3 linked regions of the Arabidopsis thaliana genome follow. Each later gene encodes a partner of the first gene's protein in a complex. Each region holds a gene or a part of one and is shown on either strand. Other genes may lie near its edges.

Region 1 (10,761 bases):
TGGCAAGCAGTGATTATCCATTGGAATCATTCGTGGAGATTTGATAATTGAAGCTGATTTGAGCTACGATGATGCCCCCAAAGATATCAAATTTAGGGTTTTAGCAAATCCAGAAACAAATAAATGAAACAAAACACAGCTGAAAGAATAAAAAGATGAGAAACCCACCTCAGATTTGGCATCAACAAAGAAGATAGAGTAAAACTTTAATCAGGGGCAGTGATGGTAATTAGGGATGTGACCGACAAGAGAGAACGCAAGCAAACACCTCCGAGCAGTAGAACTGAAGATTATAAAGGATGTGATGTGAGAAGAAGATCGATCAGAGAGTGGCAGCTAATTGCGAACTCCAATGGGAGAAAATCGAGAGAGAGAGAGAGAGAAAGAATGAAAGAGAGAGTGTGTTTGTTTAGTAGTAATTGGCTGTGTTGTTTGTTTCTTGCAGAACCTCTTTGTTGTATTCATACTCCTTTGCTTTCTTTTCTTTTGGCCTCTTTTTTTTTTTTTTTTTTTTTTTTTGCCTCCAATTCCTTTTTTTCCATATTCTTCTTGGTAATAAAATTTTTATAACTAGCGAATTAAAATTGTATTGTTAATTTTTAATTTTAGTTAACAATTAATCACTTGCCTTTAAGTTTATCTTTAGAGTTTAGAGATATCAAGGCATCAATATGTAGATATCAATCTAGATTTGGATGGAGATCTTGGCATATTATTAATATTAGTTAAAATTTAGATTCATTTTCCGATTGTAACTAAACATCGAAAAAAGAAAAATTTACTTCTATTAGTATAGTGGTAGGCGTCAGAGTGACCCATGACATCTGAGTGGGAATTTATATACAAAATAGTTTTACCTAAATATTCATTTAGCAGTACTATTAAACATTCCTAGTTAATACTAATCTAAACCCACTTGTTGGATCGAACTCACACATAGTGGTTACAGAGTGTTGAGCCAAAATAATCGAGAAATGAAGAAGAGTCAAGTATCACAAACAATATGGCTTTTTGTATACATTTGTTCCTTAACAAGTCTTTATGAACACTGCAGGAAACAAACAAACATAAATGACATATAATTTACCAATGAAGCCTAAAGCATGACATATAATTTACCAATGAAGCCTAAAGCTTGCACCTTGCATTAGCGGGTGAGCAAAATATGCCCCAACCGTTAACGCAGTGATTGCAAGATATGGCAACCTGACAAATTCTTTGTAGTAATCCTCAGGTAAAACTTGCCGTCCTTCGAAAATGGCAGCAAATGGAATCACACTTGTTCTCTTCTTGATGCTTTCAAAATCCTCTCCATATCTTTTTGCCAATCTCCTGTCTCCATTCCACGCCCCAAACAAATGGTGTGCAATCAAACCGAGAGAAGCTGATGCAGCTACTGTGTTTCCGATCCAGAGAGTATGTGCTAAACACCAAACGATTTGTCCAACCATCTGGAGAAGATCAGAGGAGAGAGGTGCAACAATCAAGTCTCATTAACAAAGCCAGTATAATGAAGAGAGAATAGAACAAACCAAAACTGAAGCTAAAATGCCTATCTTTCTATATATTATCAAGTTTTTCCAAACACATGATGAAGCAATTGGATAAGAATTTTAAGATCAAAAGCAATATCAAGTAAAGTAATCAAGCATTGATGTAATAAACATAGAAGGATGAGGAGATTTGATTGTGCTGATGTAATGGGTGTATTTAAGTCAATGGCCAATACCTGCCCATAATTGATTCAATGATTGGGGGTCTCATTAACACAGCCACTAATAAACCTTGGCTCATAAAAATCCAATCTTTCTGTATTTTTGAAACACAAAAATGAAGGAAATTGTCTTCATGTTTAGGCACATTAGGGAAATGTTCAAAACCTGAGGATGTCGAGTGATTCTCATGATGCCGGTCTCCCAGAGATGCATCTTCGGTTTGTCAACAGCTGCTACCTCCAGAAGATTGAAGGTTGAAGGATAGAGAAAGAAGAAGGATACAAAATTAGCGACCCAAATAGCTTCATGGACTCCAGGAACACCCTGAAGCTGCCATAACTGTGACCCATCATATCTATGGTTTATAAAGTAAACCTGAAAGAAGAACAAGGCATTGCATAGACCATAAGAGACATCAAACAGGTATTTATACCATTGATCAGGAGAAAAATTGCAGAGTTAGAAGAGAGAGTACTCACAATGGTGCTCATAGCTAAAGGAAGAGAGATTCCAGCAAACAAAACACGAAATGCTCGTTCACCTATAAGTTTCTCTCCTATATCCCTTAGACTAGCTAAACCACTATGTACAATTGCAAATATAAGGATAAGCATTAACATAGCAACCTGCAAAAACAAGTGGTTTTTAACAATCAAATAACTGAAATTGAAACTGGTTCAGTTACTGTTAAATTGATCTATACCTCCGGTGAGCCGGAGATGTTAGAGACGGCGTCGATGAATGATTTTCCGAAACCGGTGGAATTATCGATCCAAACAACATTGAGGATAAAGAGAACAACTCCAAGGACAACACCGAAATAAACCCAGGAAACAAGCTTCTGTTTCCCTAATTCAAAAGCAGCAGAATCTTCACCGATCAGTAGAGTAGGACTACTCTCGGAGTCAGAGGCGATGGGTTGGTCTTCCCGGAGAGTGCTACGAACCAGAATTTTCCGAATTACCGGTGACGAAGAAGAAAGCAAGCTGGTCGAGTTTCCGAGGCGAGGATGAGCTGGGATACGGCGGATTAAGGTGAGGTTAGGGCGGCGAGGAGAAGGAGGGAGAAGAAGAAGCGAAGGTGGGCTCGAGAGAAGGAGATGATAAACCGCCATTGTTCTTGTTGGTAAACAATCTTTCGAAGAGGAAGTAATAAAAAGATGTCGTTTTTAAATTTCTTCAAACAATCGTCCGAAGAAGAAATAATAAACGTTGTCGTTCAAGGGATTTAGCGATGGAACTAACACTACAACTATAATAAAATCTCTATAAATTAGATTTTTTACTCTTTTGATTAGGATTTTGATAACTATGTATAATTTGTTGTAAGGCAATCAGAGGTCCAATACAAGATAAATCTTTCAAAACTTCAATAATTTTTCATTATGCATAAGAATAAAGATTTTTTTTGAAAAGCTTGTAAATTAAATTACTTCACAACAACAAAAATAAAAACAAAAACATCCACGAAAAACAAATATAGGATCCATTCTACCACCAAGTCTTTCACTTTCTGACTCAAAAAACAAAAACTTGGGTAGTCTTTGCAATCAGTTGTCGTGCAATGCTTTGGTCAGGTAAAGCCTGCTGAAGTTCTGGCCAGCCACTCTGCATAACAACAGGTCGACTCATTTTAAGTATCTTTCAAAGCTCCAAAAATGGTGAAACAATACTAAAGAGGAACATACCCATTGATTTGGCCACAGAAGTTTGAGACTTGGTTTGTGATGAGGAAACTCTCTAGCCTAGATGGTTCAGGGATCGCCTTAAAGATTGGGTTTGAAGGATCCTCTTCTGGTAAAGGCTCCTCTCCAGCTGATTTACGAGCCATGTTCTCCGTTCTATAAACCAAACACCTCTTTCATTAGTTGGAAGATCAAAAGGACAAGGAAAAGCTGAAGACAAATGTTACAAGGCATTCACAACTCTCGTAAGTAAAGTTGTATCACCTTCCAAGATAACGAGGTAGTGAAACTAATCAAACCTGAACTAGAACAAAAAGGTTCTGCAGAAAATATAAACCTACCTTCTCTTCTGGAGCCAGGCTTGCTGTTGTGCTTGCTGACGAGACAGGTTCCGGTAGTAATACTGGAACTGGAGAAATAAATTAAGATTTTGCGTTAAGATAGTTCGGACTTCTGATGATGAGAATTGAACAAGAGTGCAGAAGAAACCACACCTTTTGCTGTTCCATAGATAAATCATCCATGCATTTAATCAAAAACTCCATATTGTTCTCAAGGAAAGGAGTGGTTGATGAGTGTAGACGATCATAATCGCCCTAGAAAGGCGAAAATACAGAAGTATCAAGAGTCAAAATCTGCAATGCTGACAGCAAGCAAGGATCACTATCCAGATAGTAGTATTGTACCTGTGAGACAGGTGTATCAGTCTCCAGTTCGGTCATAAAGGCACTGACAAGGGCAGAATTTGAAACCTTGATCTGTCAAAGGAAAAGTAACAAACATTTAAACCACTTTTTTTGTCAGAGGAAAATATAATTAGGTAACAATTCCAACCTAGTGACTTGAAAAGATTAGCTGGTAAGAATTCAATATAGAAGAAAGCTAGAGACTTACAGGTATTTCCTCAAAAATATCCATCCAGGAGAAATTTTTCTCTCTCAACCTGAAAAAGATAGTGATTAAAACGTTACAACTATCATCCTAAGTGGCTCATAAAACCTAGATTTTCAATGGATCAAGATACATACTTCTCGCCAGTAAAGTTTCCACCTCGGTACAACTCCATAAAGGAATCTGAAAGCTTCAAAGCCTTCAAAGCTAAGACGCCTAGATCAGCTTTAGAGGGATCATATATGATGCACACACACCTCTTGATATTCTCCTGTAGATGCAGAAGAATCATTTCTTAAGAGTTCATATCATGATTCTGCAAGGGATTGTAACAGAGTTGCGGACAAAAAAAGTCTCAGAAAATATATTCATGATCCAATTTACATTCAACTTTTACACATGCCAATATACCTATCATACACTAGAGTAGCCATGCTATACATATAAATTTCCAGCTGAATGAAGAGCATAACATATGAACAGACCAAATCTAGAATGTTATAATGACATGGTAGACAGGATTCTTTAACAAAAAAAAAAGTACCTGGTAATTCATGAAGGTCTCAATCAGTTCCACAGTCTGATACGAACCAAGAACTGTAGATTGATACCTGAACAAAGAATTAGGCAGATCTAAATACATTCACAAGAAAAAATTTAACAAGTGAACTCAGACTGATGTCATTAAAAAACCTACCAGCCAACAGTGTTGTTGTCAACATTAACCTCCCTCAGACATCTCATCATCTCAAGCTGATAATTAGCACCATCAGCTTCAATTTCTTCATCATCATCCCTGACCTGTCCTCGTTTAAGATACAAATTCCAGTAAATCACATGTACATCAATCATGAACAAGCTCTTAAATCCTCACAATGCGTGTAAAATTCATCAACATACCGGGAAAGGAAAACAATTGGTAACTTCGAGGACGCTACCAACATCAAGTCCAAGAAGCTGTCCAGTGACAAGGGTCGGTGAAAACTCCTTGCAGTGTTTGATTATCTTTAGTACAGCCTATCACAATAGCAAACAAAATTCTCAGCATCACAACTTCCTACCAAATGATAATGGGCAAATTAGCTTCACCTAGAGAGTTTTTATTTATCAAACACCATCGGTCAGCAGAAAACGAGGAAAAACACTTAAAACCGTAAAATCAGGGAACACTAAGAAACGTTACCAGTCCTTCGATCTGAACAACTCTAAGCGGAGGAGCCACCGCCTCATCCTTCGATATCGCCTGCAGAAACGACCTAGCCACTGCAGAAATAAACCACGGAAGAAACTTAGCACGACATATACAGAAATCGTCAATAAACAGATGCAAATATTAATTCTATGTCCTAGTGAAGAACAGAGAGGATGATTATACTGACTGGTTGCCATTGAAATAGTCTCCGGTGATAGTGAAAGCTTCCTAGGTCAAAGAACTTGAATCTCCGCCGTGAAACCCTAACGATGTGATATTTTTACTGCCGGCGGCGGAGATGAGTAAGAGAAAGAACTTTATGTGTTTGATAGGGCTTCTCGAGGATCCGCAGATTTTTTTTTCCCTTCAATTTGGGTGTAGAGAGGAAAAAAAAAAAGCGTTTCGCAGTTAAAATTGCAAAAGAGCCCTAAAATTTGAGATTCTTATAGAATGATCCCTAAATGTTTTCCGACCTATAATAAGGATGGACCCAGCCCATGGACCTATAATGCTATTCTCTTGTAAAAGGCCAGGACCATAATATTCCTCAAAATATTGAACATTTAATTTAATAGCATGGGCCCATTACACTAACCAACTAGTCAAAACTTAGTAAGAAAAAACAAACAGTCATGGAGTCAACTAGAATCCAAAACTTTTAGAAACTTTCCCTCCAAATTCCATCCGGTATTAGGGTTTAATCGAAAAAGAGGACTAATTCAAAGTCTAATCTTTAGTAACCAACTTTAAAAAGTCTATAAGACATGGTCATTTCATAAGTCCGTAAGAAAATCAACAATGTCCTAAATAAACGGCAAAAACTAGAGAATCACCACTGGTATCAAAAAACGTAAAACCAAATATATAAAACGTATTAAATGTACTATAGTTTATTACTCGAAAGTCGAAAACCTTGATGATTCATTGAAGGTCAAAGAAGTCAACAATAATATTGATGCCAAATTAAATGACTGCAGTCTCTTTGCGAGGTTGGTGTTTGGACTGGTGGACCGCTGGTTAATAATTAACTCAGCCTTTACGTGAACTCAATTCTCACCTCTTCTTTATTACATTTTCATCACGCTTAAGCTAAGCAACTAATAAATTCCTAATTTAATAAACACTTCAACATCCTCGTTTTAGAGATTGAATACCAACCATGAATGTTAACACATCTTTAACTTTCCTCTCAAACAAAAATCCAACAATCTATATCCTCATTGTATAAATAACATGAGGTCCATATTAAAATACGATTAAAAATATTATAAAAACCATGTGAAGATTCAACAAGAAAAAGAGGTAGGAAAAAAAAGCAGCTCAATAATTGGTAGAGAGTGCAAAGAGGAACCAGACACCAACTGAATAAAATTGAAAAACAATGTCTCTCCTTACTTTAAATAAATCATCCCTAAAATTAATTATTCCCACCATATTTCTTCTGCTCCATACCACACTTCACCATAAAATCTCTATATAAATTTTCTCAGCAGCAGTAACTACCTTGGCCCCAAAACCTATCTGTCTCTGAATCTTGGCAAAGTAATAGCAACCATAACAATAACGACAAAAATATACGTGAATTATTTTTCTCTTTCTCCTTCGTCTCTCCTTCATAAACCCATTATTAATTTTTTTTATAATACTACTATTATTCATGAATGCATTGAAGATGTCACAGTGAGAACAAAAAAAAAGTTTTCCAGGCATGGCTTCACGTGATGACATCTTCCTCGACCAAGAACTTCGAGAAAAGATACTCAGAAAGTGAAGTGAGAGAGAGAGAAAATGCCGGGGAATTTTAATGCTTCTTCTTCTCTTCTTAGTGCTCACTACCAGAAGATTTCTTTCCGCCATTAAAGAGCAGAGTAGAGCAGAGCTCTCACTTTCTTCTTCTTCTTCTTCATTTTTTACCTTTCCCTTTTTTGCTTCGATCGAGATGCTTTAGCATAATGGGGCAGATCTGGAAAGTGACTTAATAATAGAAAGTGATGGCTTTGAGGAGATTCATGGGATGCTTTTTATGGAAACTCGATTTCGAACTGTATCAATCATTTCTGTTTCTTTTATGAGCTGAGGAAAAGAGCCACTCTTTCTGATTTGATTGATTCATCATTCATCGACAATGGCTTCTTCTTCTTCTTCTTCGTCTTCGAGTACGGTGTCGTTCGTAGTCTTTGCATTTACAGTCTTCTTCTGTTTGGTTACTCCGGCGAGATCTAGCGACGTCGAAGCTTTACTAAGCTTGAAATCTTCAATCGATCCATCTAATTCGATTTCTTGGAGAGGAACAGATCTCTGCAACTGGCAAGGTGTTAGAGAATGTATGAATGGAAGAGTCTCCAAGCTTGTTCTTGAGTACTTGAATCTCACCGGCTCACTTAACGAGAAGAGTTTGAACCAGTTGGATCAACTTAGGGTTCTTAGTTTCAAAGCTAACTCTCTCTCCGGTTCAATCCCTAACCTCTCCGGTTTGGTTAACCTCAAATCGGTTTATCTTAACGATAACAACTTCTCCGGCGACTTCCCGGAGTCTCTCACGTCTCTTCACCGATTGAAAACTATTTTCCTCTCCGGAAACAGACTGTCCGGTCGAATCCCTAGCTCGTTGCTTCGTCTCTCTCGTCTTTACACGCTCAATGTTGAGGACAATCTCTTCACTGGTTCGATTCCTCCTCTTAACCAGACAAGTCTCAGATACTTCAATGTATCCAACAATAAGCTCTCTGGTCAAATTCCACTGACACGAGCTTTGAAGCAGTTTGATGAGTCATCGTTTACCGGAAACGTCGCTCTTTGCGGCGATCAGATTGGAAGTCCATGCGGAATCTCACCTGCGCCGTCTGCGAAACCAACGCCTATACCTAAGTCTAAGAAGAGCAAAGCGAAGCTGATCGGGATTATCGCCGGAAGCGTTGCCGGCGGAGTACTAGTCCTTATCTTGCTATTGACGTTGCTTATCGTCTGCTGGCGACGGAAGCGGCGGAACCAGGCACCGAGGGAAGATAGAAAAGGTAAAGGAATAGCGGAAGCAGAAGGAGCAACAACTGCAGAGACAGAGAGAGACATTGAGAGGAAAGACAGAGGATTCTCATGGGAAAGAGGCGAAGAAGGTGCAGTGGGAACTCTGGTTTTCCTTGGAACCAGTGATTCAGGCGAGACGGTAGTGAGATACACCATGGAAGATCTGCTAAAAGCTTCGGCAGAGACATTGGGAAGAGGAACGTTGGGGAGCACGTACAAGGCTGTGATGGAGTCTGGGTTCATTGTCACTGTGAAGAGGCTCAAGAACGCAAGGTATCCTCGCATGGAGGAGTTCAAGAGACATGTTGAGATCCTTGGACAGCTCAAACACCCAAATCTGGTGCCTCTCAGAGCCTATTTTCAAGCCAAGGAAGAACGCTTGCTCGTCTACGATTACTTCCCTAATGGCAGTCTCTTTACTCTTATTCACGGTATGTACCTTAGCTTCTTTCAAGGTTCCTGTTTTATATAGCAATGCAGAGATTTGATGGGTTGAATCGAAACTTGGATACATTAGCCAGCTTCATTGTGTTTTATGTGTGTGTTTGTCTGTAGGAACTAGGGCTTCTGGAAGTGGGAAGCCTCTTCACTGGACTTCATGCCTGAAAATAGCTGAGGACTTGGCCTCAGCTCTGCTCTACATACATCAGAATCCTGGCTTGACTCATGGGAATTTGAAATCGTCCAATGTCTTGTTAGGTCCTGATTTTGAGTCCTGCCTCACGGATTACGGCCTCAGCACTCTCCATGACCCTGACTCAGTTGAAGAAACAAGCGCAGTGTCTCTCTTTTACAAAGCTCCAGAGTGCAGAGACCCACGGAAAGCCTCTACACAGCCCGCTGATGTGTATAGCTTTGGGGTTCTTCTTCTCGAGCTTCTAACAGGTAGAACACCATTCCAGGACCTTGTTCAAGAATATGGGTCAGATATCTCAAGATGGGTGCGTGCAGTGAGAGAGGAAGAGACTGAATCAGGTGAGGAACCGACTTCTTCAGGCAACGAAGCATCAGAGGAGAAACTTCAGGCACTTTTAAGTATCGCAACGGTTTGTGTGACCATTCAACCCGATAACCGGCCTGTGATGAGAGAGGTGTTGAAGATGGTGAGGGATGCAAGGGCTGAAGCACCATTCTCGTCTAACAGTAGCGAACATTCGCCCGGGAGATGGTCGGATACCGTTCAGAGCTTGCCAAGGGATGATCAAGTGAGCATTTAGAGAAATTGGGTGGGCCTTCTTCATTGCTTTCATAGAATGACACGTGTGATTCTTGAAGTAGGGTTCATAGTGTAAAGCTTCTTTTTTATTTTGTAACGCCATTTTGATTCATCGACCTTGTAGGACTTGCATAAGATCTATTGAATTGAGATGCTGGCATTGAGTAGTTGAAGAACAGAAGAATCTTTTTTTTTTCATTCTTACTCTTTCTTTAAATAACACGACATTCAATAGCATCTTTTCATTGACATGTAATACAACTTTAAGGAGGAAAAGAAATCAAGTATAGTATAGGAACAAGCCTAACTTGACATTGACATGGCAAGTAACTAAGTTGCATGTCCCTTCATATTGTGCTCCAACTATTAGAAATCAAAGGATTGATAAAAAGAACGCAAAAACAACAAAATGAAAATGTGATATCGGATATGCAGGTGCCCTTCTGTTAGTAGCCTTTGTTTCCTCGAATCCTGGCTCTCATGTCTACCTAGAGAAAACACAATTCGACATCCAATGAGACCAAGAGACTGTAAGGTGAATGTAACTCTTAAGTGTTCGCAAGCATGCTTAATCTTATTCCACGGCAGGTATGGTTCGTATCTTTTAAACATGATGGATGATTTCAAAGCTACATTATCACAATGGGTTTAGTGAACAAATTGAGGCTTTTCAAGTGGTGAGAGCAAAACATACCTGTCCTCTTTTACAGTTGAAGTAGGTTTCTCTTAGGCCAACACACTCACTCGGTATACATGGGCTTTTTTCACCAGTGCAGTCCCTAATTGATCGTTTCTCGCCCTATAACACAATCAGAAAACAAATGAAGTGAACTGGTAATTAGTTAACAGGTAATGAATACACTTATAATAGCTTCATCTTCAGACATTTTATATTACCTTGACACAAATCGATTCACTGAGACATTTGACAAGCTCTTCAGCAAGGCCCTTACAAGACTTCGCCATTTCAACTGTTCATATGCAAAAAGGCAACCAATACATGAGAGCATGTTTCTAACAAATGAAATGAGCTTTCAGG
Region 2 (5,159 bases), on another chromosome or scaffold:
AATTGGCTGAGACCATGAACTTGAACCACACAAGGATTCTCGCCTTCAGAAACAAACCTCAGGCTCCTGTCGAACTGCTTCCGAGCAATCACTCTGCTTCTCTTCACCAACAACCCAAATCTGTAAAGCCTCGTCGATACATTCCTCAGGTATGTACTGTATTTATTGCGTTTGATCCTTAAAGCTCACTTACTGGTTGCTGCATTAGAGTTGTATTGATCTGTTGCTAAACTTTCTGTTGTGATTAACAGACTTCTGAGAGAACCTTGGATGCACCTGACATTGTTGACGATTTCTACCTCAACTTGCTGGACTGGGGAAGTGCAAATGTCTTAGCCATAGCGTTGGACCACACTGTCTACTTGTGGGATGCTTCCACTGGTTCTACATCTGAGCTTGTGACCATTGATGAGGAGAAGGGACCTGTCACAAGTATCAACTGGGCTCCTGATGGTCGTCATGTTGCAGTTGGACTCAACAACTCTGAAGTCCAGCTGTGGGATTCTGCATCCAACCGTCAAGTAATTACTACTCTCTCTCTTTTATGTTGAGATATAATATCCGGTGTTCTTAGTCTGATGTGTTTCTCATATTTCTGCAGCTGAGAACATTAAAGGGTGGTCACCAGTCAAGAGTAGGATCACTGGCATGGAACAATCATATCCTTACTACTGGAGGAATGGATGGACTGATCATCAACAATGATGTGAGGATCAGATCACCCATTGTGGAAACTTACAGAGGTCACACTCAAGAAGTTTGTGGGCTCAAGTGGTCAGGATCTGGACAACAACTAGCAAGTGGTGGCAACGACAATGTGGTACACATCTGGGATCGTTCTGTCGCTTCCTCAAACTCAACCACACAATGGCTGCACAGGCTTGAGGAACATACATCTGCTGTGAAGGCTCTTGCGTGGTGCCCTTTCCAAGCGAATTTGCTTGCAACTGGTGGTGGTGGAGGAGACAGGACGATAAAGTTCTGGAATACTCACACTGGGGCTTGCTTGAATTCAGTAGACACTGGTTCCCAAGTTTGTTCGTTGTTATGGAGCAAGAATGAAAGAGAGTTGCTTAGCTCACATGGGTTTACACAGAATCAGCTTACACTTTGGAAGTACCCATCCATGGTGAAAATGGCTGAGCTCACTGGTCATACATCAAGAGTTCTATATATGGCCCAGGTAACGTCATCAATTTCTTTAAGTGGTGAAGTAGTTTGAGTCTTTGAGGTCATTCAGTCCTTAAACTTGTGTTGTTTGTTGTGTTTTCTACAGAGTCCAGATGGTTGTACTGTAGCTTCAGCAGCAGGAGACGAGACCCTGAGGTTTTGGAACGTTTTTGGAGTACCAGAGACTGCAAAAAAAGCTGCACCAAAAGCAGTTGCCGAGCCATTTTCTCATGTGAATCGTATTCGATGAAGCTGTTGAAGACTAAAACAACAAGGAAAACCCATTGATTGTTACAAAAAGAAACTATATATTTTTATTTTTATTTTATTACCAAAGGATTCATTCTTCGTGAATATAAAGATTACTTGTATATATTGAAATTTGAAAAAAGAAAGATTATGATTTTATACTCTTGAAGGATATCCACATTTATTATTCTACTGGAAACAAAGTGAGACTTCATGAAGTTGTGATCAGAGAACTCGTAGATGCTGACAGTTTTGTTTGAAAAGATGTTCACTGGTGAACTTTTGGACCATGGTTAATCGAATGCAAACTCTAGTGTAGTATCAATCTTTAAAAGCAAACTGAGAAAATATTTATTTACCGAGTCTGTGGCATCAAAATGGCTTAAAAATAGTTATTTACTAAACAACCCTTTGTAGTTTCTCTGTCATCCTAATTTAACCCAAACGTTTTGTCAATTGCACCATTAGCCCAAACGACAAAGCTTTGTCGTTTTGGCTTTTAAACCCTAGATTCGTCTTATCAGCGAATCTCCTCTGCACATTCCTCAGTGATCTATCAAAGTTCGAAGAGACCGACGCAAAAGGGACAGAAACGGAGAAGGAGAAAGAGGCAGAGATGGGAGTAGAGATCCAATCGCCGCAGGAACAGAGCTCTTACACCGTTGAGCAGCTCGTCGCCCTTAATCCTTTCAACCCTGAAATCCTGCCTGATCTCGAAAACTACGTTAACGTGCAGTTTCCTTTCCCTTTTCTCTCAAGCCGGATTCTGTTGTAGAAATCGTGTTCCATTGATTGTTGTTGGTTTCGTTATGATTTTCAGGTTACATCGCAAACGTATAGTCTGGAAGTAAACCTATGCTTGCTTCGGCTCTATCAGGTGCTCTAGTTGTTCTTAAGCTGGACCTTTTGATACCAAATTCAAGAGTTTTAGTGTCTCTTTTCGTTAATTGGTATTGTTGCTTTTATGCAGTTTGAGCCTGAGCGCATGAACACTCATATCGTGGCTCGAATCTTGGTCAAGGCTCTTATGGCTATGCCAACTCCAGACTTCAGCCTTTGCCTCTTCTTGATTCCCGAAAGAGTGGTATTCTTCTTTCCTCTTAACTTCACAATGTTTTGCTTTCTTACATATATAGCTTATCGTAGATACAGAAGAAACGATTGTTCAAATGTTTCTGACTCAAGTTATTATGCCATTCCAAGTTATTTCTGTCAGTTCAGTCTGTGTACTGAGCATTCATGATAAAGTGTGAGTTTCAATGTGTTGGATTCTTGAGGACTAATAAATGTACTTGTTTGGATTGTGTGTTTCAGCAAATGGAGGAGCAGTTCAAGTCACTAATTGTTCTATCACACTACCTTGAGGTACGCAAACATCAGTATTAGTTAGTTGAGAGTTGAAAAGGTGTGCATTGAGTATTTAAAGCACTTGTTTTTCTTTTGCAGACTGGGAGGTTCCAACAGTTCTGGGATGAAGCTGCCAAGAACCGTCACATTCTCGAGGCTGTTCCAGGTAACTAACTTCTGAATCATAAATAAATCGTCTACTAATAACAAATTTCTAGATGTAGATTTGTTACTTAAGGATATTTGTGTGTAGATGTCTTATGGTACGAACAAAGTCCTCAGTAGTGGTTTATGGTACTGTCTATTCATTTTATGATTGTGTCTAGTGTAGATGTCTTATATGCGAGAGATTAAATGCAGGTTTTGAGCAAGCTATTCAAGCATATGCAAGTCACCTTCTTAGCTTAAGCTACCAAAAGGTTCCAAGATCAGTGCTGGCTGAGGTATGATGTTTGGTTTATGATCTCGTTTTCACCACGGATAGCTTAAGTCATCAAAATAGTAGAACTTCGGATGTGAAATCTTTTACTTTCTCATATAATTTTCTGTTACGAATATTCCACATCATAGTTCTGGAAATCTAATTTGTTGACCTTTTATTTGTCAATAAATGACAATTTTCACAGGCTGTTAACATGGATGGTGCATCTCTAGACAAATTCATCGAGCAGCAAGTGACTAACAGTGGATGGATTGTTGAGAAAGAGGGTGGAAGTATTGTCTTACCACAAAATGAATTTAACCATCCGGAGCTCAAGAAAAATACAGGTGAGAATGTTCCCTTGGAACACATTGCCCGCATCTTCCCCATCCTTGGTTGAACCAATTCATGAGAACACTGCAAATTTTCCTTTTGTCTCTTGTTATCTTGTGATGTACACTTTTAAGACACCGTAATGTGAATTTTGGCAATGGCCTTCCTCTTTGCAATTTGACAGATTTTCTTAAAAATCTAGTAGACCGAGACTTTGCCATAATTAGTAGATCTTCATAGTCTGAGCTCTGCTTCTTACCTTTTTTTTTACCTTCCATGGATTCCAATACTGGTTTCTCAACAAGTGTTGGAATTGGCTCGTTTCTGATTGATTATCTTCTGTTTACTTCATTACATCTAAATAAACTAAACGAATCTTCAGACAACCCAAACAATTGTCTTCTTTAAAAAGCAAAGGAAAAAAAAAACTTTTGTTTAGGTTTCTTGGAATATAGAAACTGACACGGCAAATTTGTATTGAGAAAGTTTGAAATACAAAGAGACTGTCTATGTCTTGTCGTCCTCTCTACACAGATCACATACGAAGATTGACAGCCATCCATTTGGAAGCTCACATGTTGACACCAAATCATGTCACGTGCACAATTTTCTCTTTTCCCATGCATATTTTGACTGCTCCCTATGTGATAAATTTGACTGATTAAACTATAATTAGTTAGATCATCTCGTATCTAAGATGATTGCTTAAAACAATACTATTATTCTACTAACAACTAGGTTATTCCCAAGATCATAACTTTTGATTTTGATGTAACTAGTTTTGTAATTTTGTACATATATGAGACTTTTTTGAATTGCTTAACAGAATAAATAATTGAATTTTATGAATATAATATATAAATTTTCAATTTGATCGACAACAATGAACGGTGTTTTATTTATAATTGTTTTTTTGACAATCATGAACCTAATGATTTGTTTTTTCTATTTTATTTAGTCGACATAATGAAGACTAATGAAGATACAATATGTGATTGAAGTGAACAAGTTAGATTTAATTAAGATACGTGGAGGATATAAAGAAGGGTGATAAATACGTGAATAAAAAGTGAAATAAACAAAGGCAAACGATCAGACAGACAAGTCGTGAACATAAAAACGGGAGAGACAGGAAAAACAAAAGAAAGCCAGACGAGCACCAAAAAAGAAACTGCAAATCTTCGTTTATGTAAATCTTCTTACCGTCTCTCTCTTGTATTTCTTCAATTTCAAAGGTGGCTTTTTTTTCTTTCTTTGTTGGGTATTAATCTGAGAGAAATTGAGGAAAACTGTTTTCCCCTTTCTATGTTCTCAGCTTGGCACTTTTCTTTGAGATTATGGTTAATTGGTTCCCTTTTGGAAATTGATTTCAAATCTTATCCAGAAGAAATTTGGTGCCTTCTGTTTTTAAACAAATTTTCTAGAGTTTCCGTGTTTAATTTTTGTTTCTTATTTTGTTTTCTATTAAAAAATTCGTTTCTTGCTCGTGTTAGTTTTCGCATTTGGAGTTTCCTGACAGCGAGAGTTGCTCGTTTTCTGGGGTCACAACAGAAGAATTCGAGCTTGGAAGATTGAAATTTGAGATCTTTTGATCTTGAATCAAGCATAAATTCTGGATTTTGAAGTTTGAGAGTGACCC
Region 3 (10,863 bases), on another chromosome or scaffold:
TATTCTCACCGCTGCTGACGGAGACGGCCCGAATCCGCAATTTAATCTTCGAGGTTCGATTTTAGTGAAGAACAAGATTCAATAGTGATATGCAGATCTCATGTCTCCCAATTTCGATTCCTTCGATCACTCCTCGAACCTCAATTCCACTCTTACCATCACTCTCCTCAAATCCTCGCCGCATTTTCAACCTCACTTCACTTCAGAGCCCAAATCACTGTTTCTTCAAAAGATTACATAAATCTCAGACTGGTTTCAGCAATCCAGTTTTGGCTGCCATGAGAAGAGAAGAAGATGTTGAAGTCGATGATTCGTTTTATATGAGAAAGTGTGTGGAGCTAGCAAAAAGAGCAATTGGGTGTACAAGTCCTAATCCTATGGTAGGTTGTGTCATTGTCAAAGATGGTGACATTGTTGGCCAAGGGTTTCATCCCAAAGCTGGTCAGCCTCATGCTGAGGTAACAAAAATTCAATCTTTCTTTGTTGGGTTACTGAAAATGAGCAAACTTTAAGTCTTGCTTGTGGAATTGTTGTTGTTGGCATTGGTATGGTAGGTGTTTGCTCTTAGAGATGCTGGAGAGTTAGCTGAGAATGCTACTGCTTATGTTAGTTTGGAACCATGTAATCATTACGGAAGAACACCGCCGTGTACAGAAGCATTGATTAAGGCTAAGGTGAGAAGAGTTGTTATTGGGATGGTTGATCCGAATCCAATTGTTTTTTCTTCGGGTATTAGTCGGTTGAAAGATGCTGGAATCGATGTTACTGTGAGTGTTGAAGAAGAGTTATGCAAGAAGATGAATGAGGGATTCATCCATCGAATGTTAACAGGGAAGCCTTTTCTCGCCCTCAGGTAAAGTTCATTGCTTCTCTTGAGTGGAGACAAATCCGAGTCAATAGATTGTTTTTAAGTTTTGAAAATCTTTGCAGGTATTCTATGTCTGTCAATGGTTGTTTGCTAGACAAGATTGGGCAAGGGGCTTCGGATAGTGGTGGATACTACTCGAAGCTATTGCAGGAATATGATGCGATAATACTTTCTTCCTCGTTATCGGATGAACTCTCGAGCATTTCTTCACAAGAAGCTATTAATGTTTCGATCCAACCTATTCAGATCATAGTAGCTAGCAATGCACAACAGTCTCATATCCTTGCTTCTTCCCACACTGTGGAAGAATCGGGTCCAAAAGTTGTAGTTTTCACCGCAAAGGAATCGGTTGCAGAATCCGGAATCAGTAGTAGCGGGGTCGAAACCGTAGTATTGGAAAAGATAAACTTGGATTCCATTTTGGATTATTGTTACAACCGTGGACTATGCAGTGTCTTGTTAGATTTGAGGGGGAACGTCAAAGACCTTGAAGTTCTTCTGAGAGATGGATTTGAGCAGAAACTATTGCAGAAAGTAATTATTGAGGTCTTGCCGGAATGGAGCACAAAAGATGAGAGACAGATCGCGTCGATGAAGTGGTTAGAATCAAAGCATGTGAAAGATTTGCAGTCTAAGCAATTAGGTGGAAGCGTTTTGCTAGAGGGCTATTTTTGATGTTTTCATGTATGAATGAATACAAGTCATGATATTTACCTTTTTTAAAGCATAGTATTATTAAGGTTTTACAGATCCTATTATTAATAGATTGATAACAGATTTTTGAGAAAATGTTGTATTTTCAAAAGAAAATATTTTCACATGTTGAGAATCTGATTCGACCTTCTATGGCCTACACATGATGGGTATCCTAAGATGAGATGTTTTTTCTTAATTGGAGTTCATAAACCAAAACCCATAAAAAAAATTAAGGATGTGTAATAGAATGTGAAGTACATTCAATGAGAACTGATTGTTGATGTCGATTGCGTTACAAATTTGACAATTCTTTTTGGATTTTGGTGGAAATGTGAACTAACTGACAACAAACATCAACCATGTTGGATTTGTTTTTGTCAAAACCGATATATCTAGAGATATTCGAAAGAAAGAACGAAATAAACACTATACAATAGTCAATTTTAAATCACTTTATGATTTAACAATCCTAAGTTCCTAACTTCAAATTTAAGATTTACAATAGCATGAATTTTAGTCTTTCTTATTGTTTCATAGCATTATTGTATTAAAAAATTACTCTACAGTTACACCATCTCTCTTTATAATGGTTGTTTCAATTGAGTTAATCATTTACTATTAATCTGAAAATTTGTAGTATGAATGTTATTGTTGGTACACAAATTGGTGATGGAACAAAAGATTAAGAGGATATCTTTTATGTCGACAATGGTCGAGTGGTTCAACAAAATCCACGCAATCGCCTGAGCGAAAAAGTTGACCATACTCAGCCCCACCACTCTCCACTTCATAACCTTTTTCTTTTATCCTTCTTCCTTTTGCATTTATACAAGTATTTTCCAATGACGGAATGCAGAAAGAAAAAAATTTGTTAAGCAAATGTCATAAAATATAAAAATATCTATAGCAAGTGACTGTAACTACGATTAACTCAACCGATTGGAGAATTGAGTAACTTATATCGAACTCAAGTTCGAACATACGCTATATATGAGAGTCAAAATTATTGATCAAAATATGCAATGTAATGGTCCAAAATTCAAAATATTACCAAAAAGAAATTCTATAAGTTAATGTTGGAATTATGATAATAAAAAAATACTAATTGATAGATATGAAACAATTTAAGACGATCCATTTGAGACCCGGGAAATAGATTAGTTTATCAAGTATTAATTTATAAAGATTTTACTTTGGACTATTTGTTCAAAAAACTACGTGATGATGAGTTTTCTATGCAAAATCAATTACCGATATGTGGATGATTCTTGTCTTTTGTAGTAATGTTGGTTATCTTTCACTCTTAATGAGAGGTTTAATATCATGTGAGAGTTAACGAGCTTCTTATTTGAGTCAATTGTAGATAAATAGCTTAACATATGCCCTTATAAACTAGCGTTGATTCTCAATCCAATTTGAAACTATTAACAGAACCATTAAAAACTATATATGAACACATAAAATATATAATTGACCATAACGACGAGTCAAGATATATATTTAAAGAACTTACTTTTTTCCACTTTGTTTTGCTTTTTTTTTTTTTAGTCTTTGGTACATATATATTACAAACCCTTTTCCAGTAAATAGTTAGCACAAACTAATTATCAGATGTCACTTAAACCAACCTCCTTCTTTATATAAGCTTGGTTAACATTGAGTTTGTTATCATGGTCTATGTGAAACAATTCAGGAATAAAAAAAGAAATGGAGCCGAGCCATTCAAACACAGGTCAATCAAGATCTGTAGATCGCAAAACGGTTGAGAAAAATAGAAGGATGCAAATGAAGTCTCTCTACTCAGAACTCATCTCTCTTCTTCCTCATCATTCTTCTACGGTTTCTTCCTCTTGGCCCTCTTATATGCTTATATAATCTAAGATTCCATGTATGGGTGATGATCTTAATATTCTAAACTCTTTTATTATTTCATGTTAGGAGCCTTTAACACTACCTGATCAGCTAGATGAAGCTGCAAACTACATCAAGAAGCTACAAGTGAACGTGGAGAAAAAGAGAGAAAGGAAAAGGAACCTCGTTGCGACTACAACTTTGGAGAAACTGAATTCCGTCGGATCTTCATCGGTTTCGTCGAGCGTCGATGTCTCCGTGCCAAGAAAGCTGCCAAAAATCGAGATTCAAGAAACTGGTTCCATTTTTCACATCTTTCTTGTGACAAGCTTGGAACACAAGTTTATGTTTTGTGAGATCATTCGTGTTCTCACCGAGGAATTAGGAGCTGAGATCACTCATGCTGGATACTCCATTGTTGATGATGCTGTCTTCCACACCCTTCACTGCAAGGTATAATTCGGAAAGTAAAACATTTTTTGCAATGGAATTTAAGAATCAAACTTTGCTACTACTACTATGTTAAAACTAGGTCTAATCCAGCTTGTATACACATTGGGAATGAGTTCAAAGTTAGGGAATGATATTTATACTTGTTGTTTTTATATTTAATAAAACTTGCACTCAAAAACGCTAAGAAGCTGCATGTTCCCATCTGATTGTTAAGTTTCTACTAGCTGATTCCTATTAATATCCATATGTTAGTAAACTAAATTTAATTTATATTTTATATAGGTGGAAGAACACGATTATGGAGCTAGGAGTCAAATTCCTGAAAGACTGGAGAAGATTGTGAACAGTGTTCACTAATATTGATTCCTTGTTCCTTTATTAAAAAAAAAAGTTCTATGTTTTTGTTCCTTTTCTTGAATTATTTTTGGTGTTAGCTAGATTCCTTTTCTTGAATTGTATCATGTGCTGTGAGAGTGATGTTTCATTTGTAAGCATAATATATACTTTTCTCTACTTAAAGCTGTGAAATATATTTTGTTTTTTGGTATCAACAAAGCTGTGAAATATATGAAACTTAGGATGATGATTTTCAAGAACGAAACCAAAAAAAAAAGTTTCTTAGAATTAATACATGAACGAGCGAAATAACTTCACCTTTTTTCAATGTGTTATACTTGCCCAAGCATTTGTAATCTAGTGATAGGAGAAACTTTGGTGATAGGTGAAACTCTCAGATCCGAGTTTGAATATCCCGTGGTATTAGTTAGAAAACATTTAAATTCGGGACAGATAGTGTTGTGGTCCTTCGGGAAAAGTTTACTTCGGAGCACTTTGGTGCGTTTCTATCGAAGCTGACCAGATCAGCAAATAGAGTTTATCAAAAAAAAATGTGTTATACTATTTCAAATTGATGAATTTGAATTCTAAATTTTTATTTTATTTTATTTTTTTCTCAAAGTCAGAAATGAAAAACATGATTTAAGACTTCAAGTGTTATATATGGGTTTTGAAGAATACTAAAGCCCATGAGCCCAAACATTAACAAAAATGTTTTTTTCTTGTACCTTCTCTCTTCAACGTAGACTAAAGAATTAGGGTTTCCGCTTTCCACACACACAGCTGCAACACTATCTTCTCAGAAATGGTAACCGAAGCTTTCGAATTCGTCGCCGTTCCTTTCAATTCCGATGGCTGGGGACCTCCAGACGCTTCCGACGTTTCCTCCTCCGCCTCTCCCACCAGCGTCGCCGCCGCTAATCTTCTCCCGAACGTTCCTTTCGCTTCCTTCTCCCGTTCCGATAAGCTCGGCCGTGTAGCTGATTGGACTCGCAATCTCTCTAATCCATCCGCTCGTCCTAACACCGGATCCAAATCAGATCCGTCTGCAGTTTTCGATTTCTCCGCTTTCGCAATCGACGAAGGCTTCGGTCTCGCTTCCTCCGGTGGTAATCCCGACGAAGACGCAGCTTTCCGTCTCGTCGACGGTAAACCTCCGCCGCGTCCTAAATTCGGACCTAAATGGCGTTTCAATCCTCACCACAATCGGAATCAGCTTCCTCAACGGCGAGATGAAGAAGTTGAAGCTAAGAAGCGTGATGCTGAGAAGGAACGAGCTCGTCGTGATCGTCTCTACAATAACAACCGTAACAACATCCATCACCAACGCCGTGAAGCTGCCGCTTTCAAATCATCCGTTGATATTCAGCCGGAGTGGAACATGCTTGAGCAGATCCCTTTCTCAACATTCTCGAAGCTCTCGTACACAGTTCAAGAACCAGAAGATCTTCTTCTCTGTGGTGGCCTTGAGTACTACAACCGCCTTTTCGATCGCATAACGCCGAAAAACGAACGCAGACTCGAGCGTTTCAAGAACAGGAACTTCTTCAAAGTCACTACTAGTGATGATCCTGTGATTAGGCGTTTAGCTAAGGAAGACAAAGCTACTGTTTTCGCTACTGATGCTATATTAGCTGCTCTTATGTGTGCTCCTAGATCTGTTTACTCTTGGGATATTGTTATTCAACGTGTTGGTAACAAACTGTTCTTTGACAAGAGAGATGGATCACAGCTTGATTTGTTGTCTGTGCATGAGACATCTCAAGAGCCATTGCCTGAGTCTAAAGATGATATCAATTCTGCTCATTCTCTAGGTGTGGAAGCTGCTTACATCAATCAGAACTTTTCGCAGCAGGTTTTGGTTAGAGATGGAAAGAAGGAAACTTTTGATGAAGCCAATCCATTTGCTAATGAAGGTGAAGAGATTGCTTCTGTTGCTTATAGGTATAGAAGGTGGAAGCTTGATGATAATATGCATCTTGTTGCGAGGTGTGAGTTACAGAGTGTTGCTGATCTCAACAACCAAAGGTCGTTTCTTACTTTGAATGCTCTTAACGAGTTTGATCCTAAGTACTCTGGTGTTGATTGGAGACAGAAGCTTGAAACTCAGAGAGGTGCGGTTTTAGCTACAGAATTGAAGAACAATGGAAATAAGTTGGCTAAATGGACTGCACAAGCTTTATTGGCTAATGCTGATATGATGAAGATTGGTTTTGTCTCTAGGGTTCATCCTCGTGATCATTTCAACCATGTTATATTATCTGTTTTGGGGTATAAGCCGAAGGATTTCGCTGGACAGATTAATCTCAACACTTCTAACATGTGGGGGATTGTGAAATCCATAGTTGATCTGTGTATGAAACTAAGCGAAGGGAAGTATGTTCTTGTGAAGGATCCATCGAAGCCTCAAGTGAGGATTTATGAGGTTCCACCTGATGCTTTCGAGAATGATTACGTTGAGGAACCGTTGCCTGAAGATGAACAGGTTCAGCCAACTGAGGAAAACACAGAGGGAGCAGAAGCAAGTGTAGCTGCAACTAAAGAAACCGAGGAGAAGAAAGCTGATGATGCTCAAGCTTGATGGTTATAAAGTCAGGTAGTTCATACAAACAACTCTCAAATTCAAAAGGCGGTTACCATAATATGCTTGTTGGATTTGATTGAACACTTGTTTAGGATCGTGAATTTATACTTAGAACCCAAGAAAATGCAGAAAGTTGGTTCTTACTTCTTAGCCATAGAATCTTGTTCTTATTCATCTGAATTTCATTCTTATAGTTTAGAAACTGGTGACTTAGATTAATTGATGATCTTTATTATAAGTATAAACGTCGTATGAAGCATCGTCATTCACAATTTGGATACTATATTCTTCAGGTCCAAAGTCTACACCTTTCGTTTCTGGGTTCTTTTGAGAGTTGAAGCTTCAATCAAACAACAACAATGGAGGTTCCTTTTTTAATTATCTTGTCCTTTTTCAAATTTTTGTGGTACTGCTGTAATTTTAAGTCAGAAATGAGATTGTAGAACACTATCTTCGTGACATCTTTTGGAAAATCATTACGGATTGTTTACAGAACAGAAATCTTTTTACTATGACTCTTATAGCCACCAAATTTTCTTGAATCATTTTGCATTAGTTTTATAAAATTTGGTATTTTATGGTTCCAACTTTTGTTTGTTTCGGTCGTTTGGCGTATTCTCTTATGAGCTTGATCCTATTGTCCTGGTCGGTTTTTATCTCTGTTAAACTGACATAGATCCTATTGTCCTGGTCGGTTTTAATCTCTGTTAAACCGACATACTTCACATATATTTATTATTATAAACCCCAAATTAGAAAACTCAACCAAAATGGTTTTTACTAAGCATTCAGTTTTTTTTTTTTTTTTTTCATGTTTCCAATAGTAACATCAGATTATTAACTAATAATCGTAGCAACGGCAAAAACCATATCAGAACAGCAGAACAAACATCCCCCAAAAGCCTCCTCTTAAATAGGTTGTCTCTAAACCCTTCAATCTCCAAAACATAATAACATACTCCATTAAGCAAAATCTAATCTCGAAAGAAGAGAAACATGGATACCAACGCAAAAACAATTTTCTTCATGGCTATGTGTTTCATCTATCTATCTTTCCCTAATATTTCACACGCTCATTCTGAAGTCGGTATGATTACTACATCTCTATTGCATTCTAGTAAAATTAATCTTTTGTATCAAAATTCAGATTTAATGATTTGTTATTAACTTTAATCTGAAAACAGACGACGAAACTCCATTTACTTACGAACAAAAAACGGAAAAGGGACCAGAGGGATGGGGCAAAATAAATCCGCACTGGAAAGTTTGTAACACCGGAAGATATCAATCCCCGATCGATCTTACTAACGAAAGAGTCAGTCTTATTCATGATCAAGCATGGACAAGACAATATAAACCAGCTCCGGCTGTAATTACAAACAGAGGCCATGACATTATGGTACGTAAAACTTTATTATAGAATTCAGTTATTCTCACTTAACTATATTATTATTACAACACTAATCATTTGAAATCTTAAAGGTATCATGGAAAGGAGATGCTGGGAAGATGACAATACGGAAAACGGATTTTAATTTGGTGCAATGCCATTGGCATTCACCTTCTGAGCATACCGTTAACGGAACTAGGTTTGTTGTTTTCATTTTTAATGAGCATTTTCAACTATAGACCCATATTAAGTGGTATTTACACGATATTTGGCATTATTACAGGTACGACCTAGAGCTTCACATGGTTCACACGAGTGCACGAGGCAGAACTGCGGTTATCGGAGTTCTTTACAAATTAGGCGAACCTAATGAATTCCTCACCAAGGTATCATATTTAGATTATTGTTAAACATTGTATTTATAGAGTTTGTTATTGATTTGTTATTTTCAAATTTATAAAAAAAATGCAGCTACTAAATGGAATAAAAGCAGTGGGAAATAAAGAGATAAATCTAGGGATGATTGATCCACGAGAGATTAGGTTTCAAACAAGAAAATTCTATAGATACATTGGCTCTCTCACTGTTCCTCCTTGCACTGAAGGCGTCATTTGGACTGTCGTCAAAAGGGTATTTATATTTTTGTTTCGTTTTTATAGTAATTTTCTTCTTTATGCATTACATATTCATTTTTTTCAATATTCAAATTGCAAAATACATCAGTAATTTTTTTTACGTCGGTATATGTAGGTGAACACAATATCAATGGAGCAAATTACAGCTCTTAGGCAAGCCGTTGACGATGTAAGTAGTCGAAATTTGCTAATGTAGTTTCATTAGCTAATATTGATTTTATTACTAATTTAGTTAGTTGACTGATCAATAGGGATTTGAGACAAATTCAAGACCGGTTCAAGACTCAAAGGGAAGATCAGTTTGGTTCTATGATCCAAATGTTTGATATATTTACTTCTATTATTTTGTAATTTATACCCTTTTAACAAAATTATCATTTTGTAATATTTGAGATTTTTTTCAAACTTTAATAAAGAAAACAATTGATGAGTATTTTTTTTTAATATACCATTAGTATTCCACTATAATAATCATCATCGGAAAAAAAAAAACACGCCTGATTACATCAACGTTGCTAAAACAGTATGTCCTATAAAAGCTAGGCAAGCAGTGTTAGCTACTAAATCCAACTCTAATCAAGCAGTATAAAAACTTGAAACAACAAATAAACATAAATATGTATGGTCAAAACAAAAAAAAGTGAGAAGGAGTCATATGTTCCTTCAAAACCTTTTCATTTCCTGATGTATTCAATACAATTAATGTATTCCATCAAGAGGATTAATACATTCGATTAATATCACTTTCTTTCACAAATGTTTTTTTTTTTTGACAATTATATCATCAAGCCAATCCATATCGAAGAATCTATACTAGTCCCTAATACGATAACCACGTGACAAAAATGTTTACACAAAAGAAGCTTTGGTAGCAATTTGTCTTGGTTTTACTCATCTCTCATTCGATACGGTAGAAAACAAAGTCGATCCATAATGAACAATAATAGAGTATCAAAAACAAGGAAGATTATACAGTCGAATGAAGGTGAAACCCCTGAAATAAGCAATCAGAATCGCAATATGAACCAAAGAAGCAAGAGAATTGCCGAACGTAAAACCATATAGAGGAAGAGGCCAACTTAAAAGAGCCTATATTTTACATTTTGTTGTTTAGGATTTCAGTAACTTTATGTTTTTTTCGTCACTTATGTATCAAGTTTCTTGTTATTATTTTTCTATGAAAATGAAAGAAATTCAGTCTATGGAATGGAAGCATGAAAATTAGACATTACATATGTATAAAAAAAAAAACAACAATGTATAGATTTAACGTATCTCTTATTCTCTTACACAAGAGATTTAAAATAATATCTCTTTGTTTGACTTTAATGTAATTTTTAGTAAATCCAAACAAACAAACAAAAAAAATAAGTTCTGAATACTAGTCTTTTTTGGTTCGGGTCGTTCAACAGAATCTTTCTGAATGGGATTAACGGTTTTCTTCTCTGTTAAATTATCACATTTCACATTAGCTACTATAGAAGCCCAAATTAGAAGAAAAAATGAACTGTTTTAAATTTTGTCACTGAAAGTTTCTATTTTCCAATAAAATCAAATACTACAACAAATGATTAACTAATAACCGTAGCAACTGCTAAAGTCATAAAAGAACATTAAACAAACCTTCCCCTAAAGCCTCCTTTTAAATAGGTTAAATACCAAACCCCTTTCCATGTCCAAAACATACTCAAGAACATTAAGCAAAATCAAATCTGAAAGAAAAAAAAAATGGATGCCAACACAAAAACAATTTTATTTTTTGTAGTGTTCTTCATCGATTTATTTTCCCCTAATATTTTATTCGTTTATGCTCGTGAAATCGGTATGATCACTATACATCTCTGTTTTATTCTAATAAAATTCATCTTTTGGTATCAAAATTTATGTTTATGTGTATGATTTTGCTAATTTAATTTGAAAGCAGGCAACAAACCGCTATTTACATACAAACAAAAAACAGAGAAAGGACCAGCGGAATGGGGCAAATTAGACCCTCAATGGAAAGTTTGTAGCACCGGAAAAATTCAATCTCCGATTGATCTCACTGACG

The links.
Region 2: TIF3H1 (region 1) and EIF3K share a complex: the UniProt entries of both Arabidopsis thaliana proteins name them as parts of the eukaryotic translation initiation factor 3 (eIF-3) complex.
Region 3: TIF3H1 (region 1) and AT4G20980 share a complex: the UniProt entries of both Arabidopsis thaliana proteins name them as parts of the eukaryotic translation initiation factor 3 (eIF-3) complex.

The regions. Positions count from the first base shown.
Region 1 is NC_003070.9:3,604,621-3,615,381, forward strand, and holds TIF3H1 (translation initiation factor 3 subunit H1), read right to left. Parts: upstream 5,997-10,761; 5' UTR 5,680-5,996; coding exon 5,670-5,679; exon of another isoform or gene 5,554-5,669; coding exon 5,474-5,553; intron 5,308-5,473; coding exon 5,191-5,307; intron 5,092-5,190; coding exon 4,988-5,091; intron 4,902-4,987; coding exon 4,835-4,901; intron 4,562-4,834; coding exon 4,428-4,561; intron 4,343-4,427; coding exon 4,294-4,342; intron 4,158-4,293; coding exon 4,086-4,157; intron 3,996-4,085; coding exon 3,894-3,995; intron 3,809-3,893; coding exon 3,741-3,808; intron 3,556-3,740; coding exon 3,403-3,555; intron 3,323-3,402; coding exon 3,265-3,322; 3' UTR 3,011-3,264; downstream 1-3,010. Other genes in the region: AT1G10820 (hypothetical protein (DUF3755)), read right to left, coding at 1-30; Z-ISO (15-cis-zeta-carotene isomerase), read right to left, coding at 1,116-1,451, 1,881-2,090, 2,195-2,341, 2,419-2,829; AT1G10850 (Leucine-rich repeat protein kinase family protein), read left to right, coding at 7,608-8,937, 9,062-9,723; AT1G10865 (cytochrome C oxidase assembly factor), read right to left, coding at 10,169-10,210, 10,417-10,521, 10,620-10,688. UniProt on the Arabidopsis thaliana protein: Component of the eukaryotic translation initiation factor 3 (eIF-3) complex, which is involved in protein synthesis of a specialized repertoire of mRNAs and, together with other initiation factors, stimulates binding of mRNA and methionyl-tRNAi to the 40S ribosome.
Region 2 is NC_003075.7:16,037,494-16,042,652, reverse strand, and holds EIF3K (eukaryotic translation initiation factor 3K), read left to right. Parts: upstream 1-1,844; 5' UTR 1,845-2,035; coding exon 2,036-2,149; intron 2,150-2,239; coding exon 2,240-2,296; intron 2,297-2,389; coding exon 2,390-2,503; intron 2,504-2,733; coding exon 2,734-2,784; intron 2,785-2,865; coding exon 2,866-2,932; intron 2,933-3,126; coding exon 3,127-3,209; intron 3,210-3,392; coding exon 3,393-3,587; 3' UTR 3,588-4,002; downstream 4,003-5,159. Other genes in the region: CDC20.2 (Transducin family protein / WD-40 repeat family protein), read left to right, coding at 1-149, 252-521, 602-1,183, 1,277-1,420. UniProt on the Arabidopsis thaliana protein: Component of the eukaryotic translation initiation factor 3 (eIF-3) complex, which is involved in protein synthesis of a specialized repertoire of mRNAs and, together with other initiation factors, stimulates binding of mRNA and methionyl-tRNAi to the 40S ribosome.
Region 3 is NC_003075.7:11,211,988-11,222,850, forward strand, and holds AT4G20980 (Eukaryotic translation initiation factor 3 subunit 7 (eIF-3)), read left to right. Parts: upstream 1-4,893; 5' UTR 4,894-5,009; coding exon 5,010-6,785; 3' UTR 6,786-6,800; exon of another isoform or gene 6,801-7,081; 3' UTR 7,082-7,191; exon of another isoform or gene 7,192-7,393; intron 7,394-7,580; 3' UTR 7,581-7,651; downstream 7,652-10,863. Other genes in the region: PyrD (Cytidine/deoxycytidylate deaminase family protein), read left to right, coding at 90-458, 555-853, 931-1,543; AT4G20970 (basic helix-loop-helix (bHLH) DNA-binding superfamily protein), read left to right, coding at 3,272-3,403, 3,503-3,868, 4,151-4,225; ACA4 (alpha carbonic anhydrase 4), read left to right, coding at 7,785-7,875, 7,973-8,187, 8,271-8,377, 8,462-8,564, 8,650-8,808, 8,929-8,982, 9,065-9,139; ACA6 (alpha carbonic anhydrase 6), read left to right, coding at 10,542-10,635, 10,738-10,863. UniProt on the Arabidopsis thaliana protein: mRNA cap-binding component of the eukaryotic translation initiation factor 3 (eIF-3) complex, which is involved in protein synthesis of a specialized repertoire of mRNAs and, together with other initiation factors, stimulates binding of mRNA and methionyl-tRNAi to the 40S ribosome.